Bombyx mori: one gene and its partners. The protein of the gene in region 3 interacts with the protein of the main gene of each other region in a pairwise test. Links are inferred from orthologs where the notes say so. Each region holds a gene or a part of one and is shown on either strand. Other genes may lie near its edges. The genes, in order: protein abnormal spindle, centrosome-associated protein CEP250 and calmodulin.

Evidence for each region.
Region 1: the proteins of calmodulin (region 3) and protein abnormal spindle interact in a two-hybrid assay, tested with the Drosophila melanogaster proteins (2 studies listed by BioGRID). The link is inferred for Bombyx mori from reciprocal best matches to the Drosophila melanogaster genes Cam and asp.
Region 2: the proteins of calmodulin (region 3) and centrosome-associated protein CEP250 interact in a two-hybrid assay, tested with the Drosophila melanogaster proteins (2 studies listed by BioGRID). The link is inferred for Bombyx mori from reciprocal best matches to the Drosophila melanogaster genes Cam and Plp.

Annotation. Positions count from the first base shown.
Region 1 is NC_085123.1:5,077,830-5,082,061, reverse strand, and holds the start of protein abnormal spindle, read right to left. Parts: upstream 2,954-4,232; 5' UTR 2,749-2,953; coding exon 2,737-2,748; intron 2,668-2,736; coding exon 2,470-2,667; intron 2,203-2,469; coding exon 2,005-2,202; intron 1,343-2,004; coding exon 1-1,342. UniProt on the Drosophila melanogaster protein: Required to maintain the structure of the centrosomal microtubule organizing center (MTOC) during mitosis. May have a preferential role in regulating neurogenesis. Required for germ cell mitosis and oocyte differentiation.
Region 2 is NC_085109.1:14,329,849-14,333,504, forward strand, and holds part of centrosome-associated protein CEP250, read left to right. Parts: exon of another isoform or gene 1-157; intron 158-905; coding exon 906-1,075; intron 1,076-1,739; coding exon 1,740-1,838; intron 1,839-3,480; coding exon 3,481-3,530; intron 3,531-3,656.
Region 3 is NC_085129.1:643,855-648,121, reverse strand, and holds the start of calmodulin, read right to left. Parts: upstream 2,914-4,267; 5' UTR 2,835-2,913; coding exon 2,832-2,834; exon of another isoform or gene 2,257-2,831; coding exon of another isoform or gene 2,254-2,256; intron 1-2,253. UniProt on the Drosophila melanogaster protein: Calmodulin mediates the control of a large number of enzymes, ion channels and other proteins by Ca(2+). Among the enzymes to be stimulated by the calmodulin-Ca(2+) complex are a number of protein kinases and phosphatases.

The DNA of each region.
Region 1 (4,232 bases), on a different chromosome or scaffold from region 3:
TCTTTTTAATAAGTAATGAAGGCACTTTCCATAGATCGGGCTCGGCGCGAATGGATTTTTTGGACCAAGTCTGTCTATTGTTAGAGCTATGGGAAATACCTGATTTATCGTTAAGTTTGTCGAAGGTACGGTTTATCGTGAATGTGGTCATTTGTTTGTCAGTTTTATCTAACACCTGAGTATCGGAGAGATGGATGCTTTCTTCTGGGATAGACTGTAAGGGCGGTGTTATTGACCGGGGCGGGGATCTCCCGTCCGCTCTAAGGTCAGACTGCCAAGGACTATGCTCCAAAGCATTCAATAAATTTCTGTCATGTTCCCGCTGTTGGAACTCCTTGAATAGAGCTTGCCTACACATCTTAGGCTGCTCTTTCAATAAGTGCTGCAAGGATTTCTGTTCTACTCGCAACTGATTAAAGTTTTGTTCAAACGGTGTATTAGGCGACTCTTTTGTGTACGTATCGGAGCATAGTTTGCCATCGTCGATGATTTCATGAGTGTCATTATTGGTTTTCGGCATGAACTTTCTCTCGGTTGAAAAACGTTGAGGGAAAAACGACAAGTCACTGATGCGCGAGAATTCTGTGTTTATCGTGAAGTTTGGACTGTTTAGTTCTTTTGGTGACGAGGTATTGGGCTGTTTTTTCTCTACCATGTTCGGCGTTTCGGTGAACTGTGAGTCTGCTTGAGTATAGTGATGATTAACTGTGAGCCACCTCTTAGGTTGGGCCGATGTGATGCTTATAATGGAATGCATTTCATTCTCCTTATTGTTCTGCAAGTCTAGGCTATCATCAAAGTCACTGTCGGAATTTACACTAAGCACTATTTTAGGACCTTTGTCCAACTTAACGACTTTAGCAGGTAATGTCTTCAAAGGAGAAAATGTTAATTTATCAAATATATCAGAAATTGAAGTATTGGGATGCATTTGCCTATTAGATGGCTTTAAAACGTTTTGAGGTACATTATATCTACTGTCAGTGGATGCATAAGTTTTATCATAAGTATCTTGCAAGTTGGATTTTCTTATGTTCGAAAAGATTTCGGAAGTGTTGAAATTAAAATCTATACTGTTCGGAGAGTCAAAGGGACATTGCTCCATGTGAGAATTCAAGGAATGCTCATTTAAAACAGTATTATTCTCTTTTTCAGATACAGTCTGAATATTACGTTGAGTGGAATGTTTTATATTCACCCAATCTTTACTTTTTATGGTTTTATTAATTTTTTCAGTTTTCTTTTTGTAAATTGCAACTGGCGATTTTTTTGATGACTTTCTTTTCATTTTACCTGGTGATATTTTAAACCCTTTTGATTGGTTTGTCTTCCCTTTGACATTCTGTGGGCAACAAAAATTTAATTTTATGAGAATATTTAATAATACATTTTTTACAGTTAAATCCTATGAATGATATTGCCTTTTTTATTATCAAAATATTATAATACATATTTGTTTGGAAATTATTAAGTCTCATCAGGTTTGATGATTGGCGAAAACTAATAGAAACATAATATAATACCTCATATCGTTATTGCCATTCCAGTACGCATGAGGTGTCAAGATACTACAATGCATCCATTTTTAGGTCATTCATTATTAAACCATTCCGAATCAAATTCCTTATTTTATGAATATGAATAGTGTTTGAATAAACTGGGAAATATCGCGACTGCTTTAACTCTTTTGCTACTATTGGTGACTCTTGCCACAAAATGCTGCATGTACACTATGGGTGACTGGGCTGAAAAATACCATCTATACACGACAGGTCATGTGCGCACTTTCAGCACAGAGCTTGTTTCTTGCGAAACGCTTTGCAGCAAGGCTCCCCATGGCGAAAAGGTTAAATAGTTTACTTAATATAAAAGCGATTGTGATTTTATTGATAGTGACATCATTATTTTAGACTCTTATTTACATAACATATCCAATTAACGTCCACAATTTACAAAAAAAAAAAATCAAAAGAGTAGTACTAATTGATAATAATCATTACTAACCACCACAGATTTAAGAAGAACAATGACATCATGTCTTCTATGGTTCTCATTTGTGAAATTAAGGGTTTCTCTAACAGCAGTAGGCTGGTTGGGGGTCCATACCATTGTCAATATATTACATGATTCCGGTTCCACTTCCAACCATTCTCCGGGTATATGCACAATCAGTCCTGGTGGTAGAGCTTTACCTAGAGTTATCTGTCAAAGTTAAGTTTAAAAATTTGTTAGTACTGAAAATTTATTGTGGTTTCAGCTTAAAGAACACTCTCGATACACCTGTATATGCTTGTGCTTGTTGCCATGTTGGTTTTAAGAATTTGTTTTATTCATACGTTTCGATGAATCCTAAATTCATGTATATTTCAATTTGTTGTCTTTTAATTCTAAGTTTTTCTCAAATCAAATGAAAGCTAGACCTATGGGTATTGTATTTTTCCCAGTGGGAAAACCGCTGTTTTTACTCACATGCTGTGGTTGTTTTGTTGGATTAATGACTTCCAAGTTTCTCTCACAAGTTGTACCAATGATAACATTGTCGAACACAACTTGTGGTGGTCTGGAGAACGGAGCTAACACCAAACGGGGACATTCTTCTTTGGGTGATTCTTCTGATTTACAGGCAGTACGTCGAGCCCTTTTAACATGCTCCGGGGTGTTTTCAATCTAAATTTATAAATTTCGTTAAACCCAACTATTGTTTTTGTTTAACAGAAAAAAATAGCTGTTACTTACTTCAAAATACATGTTTATCACATAGTATATTTATCAACACAATTGTTTGTAAAACTCATATTATAATTTGCCTAAGCTACAATATTTAATATTTTGTCATAAAGCAGTTATTAGAATTTATTTAACTGTTTCTTGTCGACAACTTGGTTTGAATTCAAATTTTCAAATTTTTATTTCTAAAACCAAAACCGTCATTTACAGTGTTGCCTAGTAGTAGTAGTTTTATTTTCCAAATGGAAAGGCAAAGATATCACACCATACAGTCTAATATTTTATATATATATTTTTTATGAAATACGATATTATGCAATGAAATGAAGCTGCTTAATTTAATATGAAACATGGCATGGCATGAAATGAATTGAAATGAGATGATATGATATGGGATATTTTTATGAAAAATGATAATATGGAGTGAAATGAAATTAAATGAAGTTAATTAATTTGAGACATTAATCAACTGGGATGAAATTAAATGAAATAAGATGAGATGGTATTTGATGAAGATTAAATATAATCTTAGTAAAATGGTGGTCATTTACTCAGATTTTTTCAGTGGACTTTTTGGAGGATCCCGAGAAGTTATGTCCAGCGGCTTTGTTTCATTTTCCCACATTTGGGCATTTTCACAGATATTAAACAGTTAACAAACCACCGTTATTACACATTTAAACCTGAACAAACACAAAATAGACAAAATAAAACAAATCGCACAACTTGACACCGCGCGTTCCCGCCAAAAAAACGTGTTGCCTAACATAATATGCGGTTATACCGGTCACTCACATTCGCACGAATACGCAAACCCACAAGTGTAGGACGAAATTTGCAAATGATTATGCAAAGTTTTCGCTGCATTTGTGGTTTTCCAAGCTGTGTCGGTTTTTTAACGGACATCAAAGCGCGCTAACCGCGATCCTTCGCGTAGTCTCCCACTAGTTCGTGTGACCAGTTGTGCCCACGATTGCGAAGGTAATGGACGTTTCGCCATTTTCATAGTTCGTGACGTCTACTGTGTAGCGCACCTTCCTCATGGATTGGAACAACACCAAGGTGATGGAGTTCATTGAACTCCTGCAAAATGAATCGACCATATGGGACCCTCAAAAGAAATTCCATAAAAACAGAATGTCAGTTAATCACGCCTGGGAAAGAATTGAAAACTCTTTTTCTCTTCAATGTTGTGTTGACGAATTAAAAAAGAAGAGAAATTCATGAAACATTCCTAAACAAGTGTAGGAGGAAGCGCAAACGGGTTCTCAAATTGAATACCGAACCCATTTGCACAGCCGCTAAGTTTGCGAATGAATGTCTGACAGCCCTTCAAATGCGCGCGAACATTCGTACAATGTACGAATGTTTGCGCGCATATGAGTGGCCGGCATTAGTGTCACTTTTTATTTTAAAGTGACACTATTTTATTTTGAAGTGTGGATTCGAGTCTGTTTGCAAAAACCTTTTAATTTAAATATGTACTCTATGAAAATTAATGCGAT
Region 2 (3,656 bases), on a different chromosome or scaffold from region 3:
GTATTATAAAAAAATAATGAAATTTCCGCGGAATTCATGCGTATAAATTCCAAAAATATCATGACACCATCAAATCGTGTTCTATTTTTGATCGAGAATAAATTGACAGATACCTAGTTAAGATTTTTTTATGTTCTGAACTGATGTGAACATCAAAAAGTTGTTATTGTGGGCGACGTGAATACCTATTTATCGCTTGTAATCTGTCTTCCGCTCGAAGGTGCAAAGTCTCTTCATTACGGAACATGTGCGACAAATATATAAATATTTAGGACGCTTAAATAAAAGCGGCTGTAAATCTATACTTCTTACTATAATATTATAAAGAGGAAAGATTTGTTTGTTTGTTTGCATTGAATAGACTCCGAAAGTTCTGAATCGATTTAAAAAAATCTTGACATAGGCTACCTATAATATTTGTGGAAAAAAAGTAGGGATCCTTACTAGAACTACAATAATGTAACCCAAGGTGTAAAAAAATTATATAAAATATTCTTTACATCGCGTGCCCTGCGAAAACTATCGAAGATAGAATAAAAAAATGTACTACGGACTTTGTAGAACACATTATTATTTACAAAAAGTGTCGGGACAGCATATGTCTAACTATTATAGTTATGCCGCAATAAGTGTTCTTTTATTTAAAAAAATATCGTTGAAATTTTTGTTAAAGACCCGAGCGGAGCCGGAGCGGACCACTATAAAATAATAAACGTTTATTTTATGTAAAAATGTACATAGAGACACGCACATATAACTAGTTTGTTATTGTGTCATATTAATATAATATAAAACTTTTTTTCTGTGTAAGACAAATTATACCCAAACTATTTAGGCTTAGCAAAGTTAGTATACGAGTCCAGTCAGTAAAAAACGATCTCAACGAACTCGGACTGATATTTCAGATCCGCTGTCTCCACAGTCGTTGTATCCGCCTGGAGAGCATCCGTAAAGCTCTGATCTGGCAGAAGCGGTACCTTCAGCGGACACTGCACGGCTACGTCCAGCTCGAGAGGACGCTGCGGCTGCCCTCGTCCGGCGCCGCCCGGGTCAGCACTGGCAAGGAACGGTTCAAGTAAGTTTTATTCAGTCCCTTCGATGGAAGGACCACTTCAAAAAAATCCTGTAAATTTACTTGAAGTGGGAAATGATACTGTATTGGTTTCACTTGAAGTCGTAAAAAATGCCTAGGACTTTATGATCGGATGTGACGTCATGGTAACGATAATCAATGGATAAGCAATGTATGAAGTTATAGGATAGCCGGGCTGTAACATAACTATATTTTATAATAAAACGACATGAGCTCTGCGTGTGACTTGTTTTAATGGCGGAAGTAGTCTGGCAGTATTGCCATAGATTACATTCTTTACCTAACACAATGGTAATCAATGGAGCTCACAAAATCAGTATTGCTGTAATTCGCTGCAATTCTCGTAATGAAATTGTGCACTTTCAAATCGACGTCGGGTGAAGAACTTAGAGAGGAATATATTTCGATTGGAAGTTGGAGGGTGATGATTAAGCAGGAAACGTGAGACACTGATATATCATTTCCAATATTCTGCCTTTCGTTCTGACTGTTATCACTTGTCTGTGCTGCTGATTGTTATCGGCCATGTATGCTACCATGACCGCTACGGTATAATACACGCAACGTCAAGCATGCGCACGTGATGGCGTCAGTACGCGGAGGGCAGTCAGACGTGGTGGTGGCTACAGAGTCCATGTGGGTACAGGTGCGCCGTGTGGGCGGTGGTGGGCGCCGTGCGGCTGCAGTACCTGGTGCGTCGCCGAAACGCGCGCGTCTCCGCCGCCGCCGCGCTGCTGCTCGACACGTACGTACACGCACGCACTCACCCGCACGCACGCACGCACCCGCACGCACGCACGCACCCGCACGCACGCACCCACCCGCAGCAACGCACACACGCCCCCGCACGCACGCACACACGAACCCACAGCTGCTCATAGTAGTCTCTACATGTCTTAGCAACTCCCATATGTAATTGTAAGAACTAGTGGTCCCTTGATAGCCGAAATTCGACTATAATTAATTTAAATTATATGTTTGTATAGGTACTATTATGATGTTATTGTCAAAGGTGCTTCTATAATCAAAGATTTCGCCAAGACTACACTTTAGACAATAAAAAAAAGTATATTACTCTATTCTCAATTTGACCACAGACTATTTATTTATTTATTTATTTATTAAGTTGCACCAACAAAGTGATCATCAATACAAAACATTGACAAAAGTTCATGGCTGATGTCACCTCAATTATAGGTGCAATCGACAGTGCATTAACATCAAAAATAAAAAAATATATACAGCTAAGATTTGAATACATTTCATTCATTGCTTATGATTAATTTAATTGGGAGATGATCCGCGACAAATTTTTCCTGTAAGTACAAGCATTAAGAAAAGCTTGGCAATAAACAAATAGTATTATGCATGCGTGTGCGTGTGTCAAATACATGTAATTTGTATAATGTTTTTTTATTGATTTAAAGTATTTTTTATGCATAATTTAAAAAAAATATTAACATTCTGCACTCCTTCTCTATATTTTATATAAGTGTGGGAAATTTCATACTCCTCCGTCCGCGCAATTTTCGTTATAAGGGGTACAAAGTTTTTACTTTACGTGTTAATATATAGATTCTAAAGTAACCTTATATTTTGAACAGTGGTTTGCCGTGCATGTTGATGCATACAAAATTGAATTTAAATTTAAAAACCTTTGTATGGTTTTTTTTTAAAGTTGGGTTGGTAGTTAAATAATGACTAAAGGAAGACCCATCTTATATCATCATAACAACGTGGTTACTGCAACTCACCCAGAGACCCGAGTTAAAAAATTTAATTATATATTGCGTGACGAATGTCCCCATCTGCAACTTTATTTCAATTAAAAAATTAATTAAGTATTTCAATTTTATATTAAATTGAAGATGTTAGTGGATGAAGGGGATATGATAGTTTGTTAGTTTTGAGAAAACGGGCAATGAACTTTTGTTACTTGTACTTTTTCAAATCAAATCAAAGTTTCTTCGTAGATAACTCCTTTATTACATGCAATTTCTAAAACTAGCCTTTAAACCCGAAGTTTTAAGGTCTAACATGGTTTATAGGTACATAACACCTTTATTCAATGTAAAACTGATAAAATTTAAAAAATGGTACTAAACCCCTTCATCCGCTCATGTCTTCAATTAATCTTTTGAATAAATATCGTTAGGCATTGCCATGCGTGTCCATAAACGATAATGACAGCCACTCCTGTAAGGAGGGTCGTATGGTCGTTTGTCTAAATTATCTTCGATATTCGCGACTCGTACATACTTATATCTTTATGGTTTAATCTCGCATTAAGTATTATTGACAATAAAAACACGAGATTAGATTGTAAAAGTACTTTTAATTTCATCAAAATAAGCACACTGCATCAATAAAGACGAATATATTTACAGTCCCGTGCAGCAGCGGCGCCCCCCCTCCGCGACCCCCGCAGCCCCCGCACGTGAGTATTCAGTCACGTTCACGCTCCAGTTAGGTTAGAAGCTGTCAAATGACAGCTCGAATGTCATCATCCGCTCTGGATTATGTTCTGGCTGTATGGACTAAAGTCCTTTGTCTTTCCCATTAG
Region 3 (4,267 bases):
CAGCCGTTGTAACTATAATTGAGACCTTAGAACTTATATCTCAAGGTGGGTGGCGCATTTACGTTGTGGATGTCTATGGGCTCCAGTAACTACTTAACGCCAGGTGGGCTGTGAGCTCGTCCACCCATCTAAGCAATAATAATAAAAAAATTTGGTTGTTGTGGGCCGAAAGTTTGATGATTAGTCAAGTCATGGTCTGTGGGCGAAAAGCAAGTGCCAAGCAAAATTCAAATATAGACACATTGCTAAGAGCCAGTTTTTTTCCAGGAAAATCAAGAAGCTCCATGTATGTCCAATCTCGAATTCACGGCCGCTTAAATGGGATACTACTGTACTAAGAGCAATATATTTTTAATTTAACTATGTTTTAGTTATCAATAACATGAATAACTAAACAAATAAATCTAAAAAATATAGTGATGCACAGTCACTAACTTGTTCACATTGACACAGTAAAAATAAAACTAATATTACTTGATATAACTATGTTGTATTCTACACAGTAGGCAATAGGTATGAAATACCTAAGTTATGATTCAACGTAGGAACACAAATGTATGAGGCATAAATTAACATTTTTTGTACAATTCCGATACAACTACACTTTTTAATGTTGAATTATTATTTAGATTCAGCTTGTTAGAGACAATAATCATTTGAGCTGAAATATCACTCCCTTTTTAATAAATTAATTTTAATACATAAACATGCTTAATGGATTCTTTTTTATTAGATGTGAATAGTCTCTTTAAGCACTATCGGAGGGTACCAAAATGATGTTAGCCTAAGAATCGCTTAAGCTACATTTGACAGGGCCACAAGAATTTATTATCTTAATTTTAGTTCCAATTGTAGTTAGTAGGTAAATATTACACTATCATGTCACTTGAACATTTATTTAAATATGGATAATTTGGCCTTAGCTATTTTAGAAAAGAATATTGCACATATATTGCCCTTTTTACATGATTTGTATTATCAGATATTCTAATGTAGTGAGAAACATAGCTTACAGCCCACAATGTCCTACATATTAACTGGAGAGTTGTATGAGAATGCCTCCGCTAAGCCTCGACACATTGAAAGACCTCTATTAATTATACCAATAGGTGCTAACAATGGTTCTCATAATGTATGATAGAATGTGCTAAACTCTTTCATATTTTCTTTTTCCCAACTCAATTAAATTGAGCTTCAGATTAATCTCAACTCCTTGGATTTTCAAACACATTAGAAAAAAATATAATTTCAGATATATACAAAAATATTTAACTTAAACATATGTTTACACTTTAGGTGTTATAATAATATATTAACTTAATTATACCAAGTTTATCCTTAGTTGAGAATGCATATTTAGCATTTATCAATGTTTACCACCAGTTTATTATTTATTATACTCAAGCTAACATTTCATGACTTCATTTTATTGAGTAGCACAGTTATTACTAGAACAATGGATGTAAAAAAATAGTTAAAGATTAGAATAAGATTAAAAAGCAGATTCTTTCTGTATGAATTTATATACATTCATAGCCATGATCTGCGAACTTAGAACAATAAATAAATCATAACAAAAACTTTGAATGGCTGCAGGGAAAATATCACCATTATACCCCACATACCCAATCCCCATTATTTTACTGGCAAAAAACTTTCAATGAATTTTTTTAAACACGAGTATGAGTATTCTCCGCTGAAATAAAATAGAAAAAATAATGGCTAGGGATTTAGTCAGGAACAAACTGTAATACTGTAGGCAATAGGGACTACACCGATCCTTGTGATTTCAAGTATTCATATCGAAGCTTGAAAGGCAAACGTGACTAAGCGATAATGCGTGAACTTTACAGTAGACTAATTTAAAGTTGAAATACCTGAAAACAAAATTTATTTTAATGAATCTAGCTGTATGATTGAAATGATTTTAATAGACCTACAAATTTATTTTTCGTTGCGCACTGAATATGGTTATTGCTTATCATTTATGTACAAAGCAGTTATAGTCGCTTAGTCAAGTTTGCCTTTCAAGCGTCGATTTATTCTTAATTTCTGTAACTTCAAGCAAAGGAAATTTTGGTGTAAGACACCAGAATTCAGCTTTTAAAATATAACAAGAGCATGTTAAACTTTTTCGAAAAAAAAAAGAAAAAGAATTACAGCTGTAGTTTTGGTTTGATAAACAAAAACTTATTTACATGATTGTTACTATAAGTGGCACCGTACGACGATGAAAGCGACAAGTTTAGTTACCATTATGGAATTTCACAGCAGATGATATGTTATGTACAACAACACGGTCTAACGAAAAGAGTTTTACGTAGGTACAATATCAGATAATGACGATGAGTCAACGAGCGTTTGACAGTTGCGCCCGGCGATCGATCCTCATAACAGCGGCCGCGGCCTTTCGACAATATGCCCAAACTACAAAGCCATTTGTTTTCTTTCCAACGACGTCCCTGCGCCATTTCAACCGACATTAACGGCCTACTGCAAATTAAAGAACGTAATTTCACCGGCACCACCTATTAGATTATGGCGACCGTTGTTTCTGCATAGGCTCGTTTTTAAATATCGCAAAATCTAAAGCTTTCAACACTGCTTTGAAGTTTATCTATTTCGAAAGCCTCGCTGTGAGGCTTCAGTTACGCCTTCTGATACTTCTCGAATCCGCAATGCGGTAAAAAAAACGGCCATCACAATAATATAATGGAGGCCGTCATCACTATAAACACCGATGCATAACTTCTCCGAAATACGACCCGGAAACTGTTCCTCGTGATCTTCTGAAGGCACTCCCGACACCTTTCAATAGAAATAGCACTCACCATTGTAGATTAACTTGGATTATCTGGAGCTACACTAAAAAATCACAGACTACGCCGCAAAAGCGACCGCACGGACCGACGGCTGAAACGATACTGCCGCCCTCACTCGCGCGAGTGGCCTCGCTGAGAAACTCGGGATCGCGGTTCGGATCGAGCTCGGCCGCGAATCGTTCCGAATCGACTACTCGATTCGTCGCACTGTCATATCCGTCTTTCGTTCACGAGAAGGTTAGTTTCGCAAGCTGCAGGGCGGAAACGGTCTACACAATGATTATCCTCGGAACGTCCAAGTCCATGTTTCGGGACGCACAACACAGGATTAAATTTGCTCTGCAAAGGATAGTCGGTTTTATAAGGGGCGGGTGCGGCGGCGTAGAGCGCGAACCGGCGCGCGCCGATTGGCCGCCGCGCACCTGCAATGCGTCACTGCGGCCGCGAGCCCCACGCCAGCGAGAGCGGCGCCCGCCCGTGCCCGCTCCCGAGCGCCGCTGCCCCAGATCCGCGCCGCAGTGCCGCCCGCAGGCGCCGCTAACGAGATAACACGGGCTTCCCGACGCCGCGCCCCCACACACGCATTCCTACTGAAAGTAAACGTTGCCCTATCTTGTCGCAATATCATCTTCCGTATGATTCGCACACAATCGGAATGCCGGAAATAATAAAAAATTAAAAAACAAAAAAACAATTACCATAATTTCCTACCAATTAATATAGACAATTGAATTATGATAGTACCTACCAAAGTAATCTCTTTTATTTAAAGATACGTAAAAGCAGACTAAAAATATGAACTTGTAGATTGTTTATGATCGCTTTATTGTTTACGTGTTTATTGACCCTGAAAAATCAAACAAAGGCTTCAGGTTCGATTTAGTATCTTAAATATTTTTAGCATCTGGGGCTCTAGGTATATTTGTTCTCGTCTCGTGTATATATTTCCAGTATACATAATACAAGAAAAACCTAGCTTGACACTGTTATTTGAGGATTTTTATTTACAATGTGTGCAATGAGATGTAATTAAAAACACACGTCGGAAATATTTATGAAGCATTCATTGTAAGAACCCCGTAAGATTAGTACTAGTCACAAAGAGATTCTTATTACATTGTAGAAGATATTATAGAAACGAAAATGAATGTAATGAAAGGCATGCAGATTATAACTTTAATTTATCATTTCCATAAAAAGATTTTTTGTAGCTAAAGGGGCAATCACGAATTCTGTACTGTAAAACCTTATATTTAAATAATGTTCATTTCATCCTTTCAGATTAGATGGTTTTAAAGTTATAATATTATAATATTAAAAATTTTAACTCATTTTAAGAGAAAAAATTAATTGTCAATTTTATTAAACAATCGATTGTCGATTGTAAGTATCGATTTTATGCAAGTCAAGAAACACATCACCATTGTTTAGATGACAGTACTACC